Oryctolagus cuniculus: one gene and its partner. The protein of the gene in region 1 purifies or fractionates together with the protein of each later gene. This does not show direct contact. Links are inferred from orthologs where the notes say so. Each region holds a gene or a part of one and is shown on either strand. Other genes may lie near its edges.

What was found. Proteins that work in one complex are often made in the same cells at the same time.
Region 2: the proteins of PSMD14 (region 1) and PSMD5 purify together in Homo sapiens (affinity purification with mass spectrometry; 6 studies listed by BioGRID and IntAct, with this or other methods). This does not show direct contact. The link is inferred for Oryctolagus cuniculus from reciprocal best matches to the Homo sapiens genes PSMD14 and PSMD5.

The regions. Positions count from the first base shown.
Region 1 is NC_091434.1:80,409,562-80,413,633, reverse strand, and holds the start of PSMD14 (26S proteasome non-ATPase regulatory subunit 14), read left to right. Parts: upstream 1-1,246; 5' UTR 1,247-1,426; intron 1,427-4,072.
Region 2 is NC_091432.1:224,739,412-224,742,978, reverse strand, and holds part of PSMD5 (26S proteasome non-ATPase regulatory subunit 5), read left to right. Parts: intron 1-1,388; coding exon 1,389-1,580; intron 1,581-3,531; coding exon 3,532-3,567. UniProt on the Homo sapiens protein: Acts as a chaperone during the assembly of the 26S proteasome, specifically of the base subcomplex of the PA700/19S regulatory complex (RC).

The DNA of each region.
Region 1 (4,072 bases):
TAAAGAATGGGTTAAAGGGGGGAGACTGGAAGCATGAAAATGAAGGGGATAACTGCAGAATTTTAAGAAAAAAGTGAGGAAGGCTTTCACTAAGGCTAACCTGGGAAGAATGGAGAAAGTGGGCTGGTGGACTGTAAAAGTTATTATGGAGATTAGACACTTCATGTTTTCTAGAGGGATTAATTGGGAAGCCGAACAAGCAGTACCTAATCTCAGGTTTCTGATTAGGGAAGTTACTTGGAGGGTTATTTACCAAAAACAAAACAAAACAAAACAAAACAAAACAAAACACAAGTTTTGGGGGAAAACATAAAACCTGACTCCAAATATAATTATTACCTGTAACATTATTAAGCATTTTTAGATAGAGATGTTAATATATTGTGTAACTCACATTATAGCTTTGTATCTTGATGCTGTCCTCTCTCCTCACCCTCCATCCAGTAGATTAATCATAATTCTTAGGAATGTTTGAAAGATGTTTGTTAGTTGCAACATATCTGAGAAAGAAAGAGGGACGTGGTAAATATGTTGCCCGAATAGAGGCCTAACTAGACCCAAAGTGTGACATAAACTTGTCCGTAGTTATTCCTGCTTTTAGAAAACCTAGCACAGAGCAGATCAACCAGTAAAACGTGGTTGTTGATAATTATATGGAGAAAATATTTAAGTAAAGGATTCCTTAAACCCTGTGAACTGAACTGCACTTAAAATATTTGGGAACATTAGTTTTCCTTGAAATTCAATGTTTGCAAAGCAGTAAAGAAGTGGGGGGTCAAGTGGGCTACGGAAAAAGCGCGTCTGACCATCCCCTCTAAACATACCAGCCCCTTTTTCTTTTTTGCTTCCTTCAGATGACCAATTAGTTCAAGTTTACCTTTGTGAGTTTTTGTGGAAGGCCGCAATGGCGGTGGACACCACAACGAAAGGACCCTAGGGTCCGCAACAGCAAGAGTTGCATTTCCTAGCCGGTTCAGGGGCTGGCGGTGCCGGCGTCCCACAGCTCGCCTGCGGCCGGGGAACACAGAGGTGGGCCTGGAAAAAGGAGGACACCCGAGAGGCGGGGGCGGCCCGAGCGCAAACTTCCGCCTCCTCCTCCCGGTGAGACGGCAGAAGCCGCAGGACCCGCGCGGTCTGCACCGTGCGTTTCCCCTGGGACGCCCGCTCGACTCTCGAGTAGTCTCCAATTGGCCGCCAGGGGAACGGAAGCCGAAGCAGAGCAGTGAACCCGGAAGTGCTTCGCGGCGGAGGCCTGGGCGACTCTTTTGAATGGAATAGGGCTGATTCATCGCCGGTTCGTGGAGCCAGAGCCGGGCCGGGTCTGAGCCGCTGCCGCTGCCGCTGCCGCCGCCGCCTCCGCCGACGCGTTATCCCCGCTGCAAGACAAGGGTCCAGACCGTGGCCTCCTGTCCCTGCCTTCCTTCAGGTAAGACCGAGAAGGCAGGCCCGGGAGGGCTGGGGAGACAGCCGCGCTAGGCCGCTGCCATCCCCGTGCTTTCCTGAGTCATGTTGCCCAGCCGAGTTGCCACTGGAGGCCGGGGACCTTAGGGAGGAGCCCAGGCTCCTTCGTACTCCTCGCAGGTTCCTCGGGGGTCTCTGGCAGGGTCAGATCGGGATGTGGTTTCCTTCTTCAACTGGTTTTTGCTTGACTAATTCCCATCGTCTTGGGAACCTATCCTCCTTATCCATGGAGAGCTCTTGTTTATGGCCTATTTGCCTGTGCTCTATTGGTAATTAGTCCTGTGTTGAAAAACGTCAAAGCTGACAGAGGAAACAAAGGAGAGGGAATAAAATGAACTTTTACATTGATTGCATGTTGATTTATGATCTGTCCCTCCGGTGGTTTGGCTTATTTTCTCTTAGTGATAGCTTTTCAAGTCCAAAAAATAACCGAAACTTCTCCGAGATGCAAGTCTTTAACGTTGAATATCATTAAAACTAACAGTAGTTATTCAGGTTACGCCTATGAACTTATGTTCAATGTTGTCCTAATTGAGTAGCTGAAAGTTGATCACATGTCCCGCTTTCAGTAAAAGTTGAAATCTGCTACTCTGTGTTACTTCCCGGAACTTTTTTTTTCCTGGGGACTTAGCTCCCTACTGTCAAAAGAATAAAAATGTAAACTTTTTAAAGGAATGTCATTATAGATCTAGTCACTGAGTCAGAATTTCTAGAAATTAAAATGGTAAACAAAAGTTGGTAAAGATGTCATGGGAAAGTCAGGAGAGGCTTGAAAAATTAGCATAGTGTTTTTCACTGCTCATGAAAGTGTTTTTCGTGTTGCTGACTTGATGTGTTTGAGTAAAGCAAAAGAAAAATACTAATGATGTGGAAATAAAAACAACTCAGTTTGGAGATGATTAGTATAATGATAGCCTTTTTGTTTCATAAGACCACTAAGTGGCTTTTTTAAAATTTAAATTATGTATGGTTTTTTTTTTTTTTTTTATTTTTTTTGACAGGTAGAGTTAGTGAGAGAGAGAGACAGAGAGAAAGGTCTTCCTTCTGTTGGTTCACCCCCCCAAATGGCAGCTACGGTCGGCCAATCCAAAGCCAGGAGCCAGGTGCTTCTTCCTGGTCTCCCATGCGGGTGCAGGGCCCAAGCACTTGGGCCATCCTCCACTGCACTCCCGGGCTACAGCAGAGAGCTGGACTGGAAGAGGAGCAACCGGGACAGAGTCTGGCGCCCTGACCCGGACTAGAACCTGGGGTGCCAGCGCCGCAGGTGAAGGATTAGCCTGGTGAGCCGCGGTGCCGGCCTAAATTATGCATGTTTTAAACAGATTGCATGGGTTATAGTGCATTTATAGAAATTGAGAGATATGCTGGCTCAGAATTAAGGAAAGATGTGGTTACTGAAGCCGTAAGTGGAAAGCCTGTCTTAAATTTGTCCCTAACAAAGTTAAATCTTGCCAAGGGAAGAAAGTTTTGAGTCATAACCTTTTACTAAAGCTTCACCTATTGAGTTTGGAAGATCCCCCACCCTCCTCAAAGTGATTGGTTAATAATACTGTCATTGTAATTGAAAAGTTGAATTTTAACCTGTCTGCTGTAGATTCTTCTTATTTTGTAATTGCCATATAAACTTTGTGCTTAGTTTTTAAATTCAGAACCACATGTTTGGAAAATTAATTACATGAAGCTATTGTACTTTTTTAAGAAATACTTTTATTTATTTATTTGAGATATAGAATTACAGACAGAGAGAGGTGGAGAGAGAGAGAGGTCTTCCATCTCCTGGTTCACTCTCCAAATGGCCACAAAAGCTGGAGCTGAGCCGATTCAAAGCCCAGAGCCAGGAGCTTCCTCACAGTCTCCCACACAGGTGCAAGGGTCCAGGCACTTGGGCCATCTTCCACTGCTTTCCTAGGCCATAAGCAGAGAGCTGGATCAGAAGAGGAGCAGCCTGGTCTCGATTCTGCACCCATATGGGATGCTGGTGCTGCACTGGAGGCTTAGCCTGCTTCTCCACAGTGTCAGCCCCCGCAATTGTACTTTTTTGTTTTCAAATTCATAACAATCTTCCTTTTGTAGTTTCATGTACACCTGTGAAAATCTTGCCTACATAGTCTTGTGATTTCTAATGAATTTATCTCATACCCTACTTGTGTACTAATTTGACATTTTGTGTTCTGCTTGGTGATATTTTGGTGTCCCCGTTTATAAAATGAGAGAACTAGATTAAATCTCTCCCAGTTCTAAGATAATAACAGTAACAGCATTTATTGAGTACCTAGGATATTCAGGCTTAATCTCAGCAGATTTGCAAGGTAGATATTATACCCATTTTAGAGATGAAGTCGAGTTCAGAAGAAGGTACCTTGTTCCAGTAAGTAGGTTGTAAAGCCAGGATTCAAATCTAGGTTGACTGGTAAGACTTTCCTCCATACAGCTGTCCTTTTACATTACATAGTTTTTACAGATTTATGTCATACTCTCCTCTCCCTCAGGTTTTTCCAGTGCAAACTGCTGTTTCTTGAGTATGCAAGACAGTATTCAGTAAATGTTTTACTTGAATGCTGTGATTAGGAGACATCATAGATTTTTTATAATTCCCTTCTTTTAAACCCTG
Region 2 (3,567 bases), on another chromosome or scaffold:
CAGTGCCCATATGGGATGCTAGCACTACAGGCGGTGGCTTTACCCACTACCTCACAGCGCTAGCCCCCCATGTATGATTGTTGATCCAAAGAAAAGAAACTGATAGTCCCTTAATGAGGTGTAATCTGTTGCTCTGGGGGCCACGTACTATTGATTTTCTGGAAACATCAATGCTTTTGTTTCTTTGAAGGGTAGAGTGACAGAAAAGGAGAGATTTTTCCATCTACTGGTTCACTCCTCATATGCCACAACAGCCAGGGCTGGTCTAGACCAAAGCCAGGAACCTGGAGCTTCATCTGGGTCTCCCATGTTGGTGGCAGGGGCCCAAGCAGTTGAGCCATCCTTTGCTGCTTTCCCAGGCACATTAGCAGACAGCTGAATCAGAAGCAGAGCAGCTGTTTGCGACAGCACCTTAGCTTGCTGTGTCACAGTGCTGCCCCATGGAAGCATCAGTGTTTTTTGGAGCATTTGGGTAGTTTTCTTTAGAAGTTCAATTAAAAGAAACACAAAATACTAATAGTGATATTTACAACAACTGTCGAAGAATCATCAGATCTCTGGTTGGAAATCTTTATCTAATTTAGGACCTAATTTATCTAATTTAGGCCTTTCTAAGACATTGTTGCTTAGACCCTTTTGAACATTTTAAAAATTAGAGGTTTATTTTTTCTTAGTTAATCTAACTTTTTTTTTATGATCATATCTATTTAAAAATTTCTTACTAAATAACCTTAAACTTGCGTTCATATAATTTGTATCTGTTGGTCCTTGTTCTCTGTTCTCTTTAGTGCATATGACAACACTTTAATGTTTGGACTCACTTTCAGTGACAGCCTGCGGTTTCTGTTCTCAGGACCACGCATCACAGATCTGTCACTCTTTCCTTATGGGTCTCTCTGATTTCCAGGCAACACTCTACTCCAATCTTCTCTTCTTTTTGCCCTGCAGTTTGTTATTGTTCCTATATCAAAAAATAAACAAACAAAGCAAAAAAAACCCACAGTTTGTCCTCCTTTGCTCCTCAGATAAAATATATCTTTGCGGGTAGGCATTGTGGTACAGCAGGTAAGCCACCACTTGGGTGCCTGCATCCTGTATCAGGGTTTGAGTCCTGCCTCTGCTTCCAATCCAGCTTCCTGATAATGTACACACTGGGAGGCAGCAGGTGATGACTCAAGTATCTGGGTCCCTGCCACCCACACAGGAGATCCAGATGGAGTTCTAGGCTCCTGGCTTTGGTCTGGCACAGCCTTAGCTATTGCTGGCATTTGGAAGTAACACAGTGAGTAGAAGATTGCTCTCTCTCTCTCTGCCTTTCAAATAAGTGAAAATAAATAGAATTTTTAAATATTTTAAATAAGTAAATATGGTTTTGTAATTATCTTTAGGATTTGTGAAGTTTTTTGGAAACTTAGCTGTCATGGATAGTCCTCAACAAATCTGTGAGCGTTATCCTGTCTTTGTGGAAAAAGTCTTTGAAATGACAGAAAGTCAGGACCCCACCATGATTGGTGTAGCGGTAGACACAATTGGAATCTTGGGATCCAATATTGAAGGAAAACAAGTTTTGCATAAAACAGGTTGGTATGACTTGTCTTGGTTTTCTTTGAGGATATCTTAATTTTTGACAAGATTTTCAGTAATCAAGTTCATTTGCTGATAGGTTAGGTACAAAGTAGAAACTGCTGTTATGGGTGGCAGTCTTCTTATCCATCACCTTGGACTTCTCCCTCAAAGTCTCATAATTAATACTGAAAACCTTTTCTATTTCACTTCTTACTGTTTAGGACTCTATTTTCCAACTTGGGTCACTTTCCCTTCTACATCTTCCTTGAACAGAAGACCATGTCATATTTCAGTTCTAACACTGACTTAGCTTTTTGAACTTCATTTATTCTCTTCACTCCTTTAAGCCTCATTTTCCTCAAAAAGTGCATAACAGCCACTTCTCAGGGTTGCTGTGAATATTTAATGAAATTTTATTTTTTGTAATGTTGAAGGAAGGGAAACAAAAGTTTGTTACCAGATTTTATGTTTAAAAAGATATTTTTATGGCATAGCCAAGAGTATCTTAACACAGTGAATTCTACACAAAAAGATAATATGCGGCACTATTATGAAAACCCTTGTGAAGTATATATTGAAAAATTAATATGCTGTTGTATCACAACTCATATCTGTGTAATATGTACTTTTGTGAGTGCTTTTACCTATGACATACAATCCTTTTACAATCTTGCTAAGAACATAAAGTTAAGAAAATTTTCCAAGACTATGCAGACTGGAACAGCTTATACTCAAATCCAGGTCGTTTGATTCCAGTTCCGTGCACTTTGCTTTATATGTGCTACATTGCACATAATTGTATGTTTTAGGTCTGTCATTTGACTCTGGGTATATTCCTATTTTTGTGTTGGTTTAAGTTGGTATGGTTATAGTATATGAAAGTATTCTTTTTAAGCTCATTTTTCACTTTGCAACTATCAAGATAGTTATTTAAAAGAAAATATAGGCCGGTGCCGTGGCTTACTAGGCTAATCCTCCTCCTTGCAGCGCTGGCACACCAGGTTCTAGTCCCGGTCGGGGTGCCGGATTCTGTCCCGGTTGCCCCTCTTCCAGGCCAGCTCTCTGCTGTGGCCCGGGAGTGCATTGGAGGATGGCCCAAGTGCTTGGGCCCTGCACCCCATGGGAGACTAGGAGGGGCACCTGGCTCCTGCCTTCGGATCAGCGCGGTGCGCCAGCCGCAGCACGCCCGCCTCGGTGGCCATTGGAGGGTGAACCAATGGCAAAGGAGGACCTTTCTCTCTGTCTCTCTCTCTCTCTGTCCACTCTGTCTGTCAAAAAATAAAAATAAAAAAAAATTTAAAAAAGAAAATATAAAATAACAAGCACTAGGATATGGAAAAATTGTAATCTTTGTACTTTTGGGTGAGAATATGAAATGTTATAACTGCTAAAGAAATTAGTATGACAGTTTCATAGAAGTTAAACTCACTATATGATCCAGCAGTTTCACTTCTAGGTATATACCCAAAAGATTTCAAAGTAGGGCCTCAGTCAAACACTTGATTACTATATTCATAACAGTATTGTTCACAGCAGCCAAACAAGATGGAAGCAACATCTTTCGATGGTCACTGACAGATGAAGAAACAAAATTTAGTATATACATACAATAGAAAATTACTCGTCTTTTTTAAATTACAAAATTCTGACATACGCTTTCAGGACAGAGGAACCTTAAAGACATTTTGCAGAGTGAAATAAGCCAGACATGAAAAGACAGATTTTATGATTCCACTTAGAGATAGCTAGAAAAGTATAGAGATGCGGAGTAGAGTAGTGCTTCCCAGGGGATGAAGGTAGGTAAGAATGTGAATTATTGTTACTCATACAGAGTTTTGGTTTTAGTTGATGAAAAAGCTCTGGAAATGGATTGTGATGATTGTTGCACGTTAATATTAATGTACTAAATGGTTGAAATGGTAAATTCTATGTTTATTTTATACCCAAAAACCTTGTCCTTCAAAGGAACTCGCTTTGAACACCTGCTTAAGAGAATAGGAC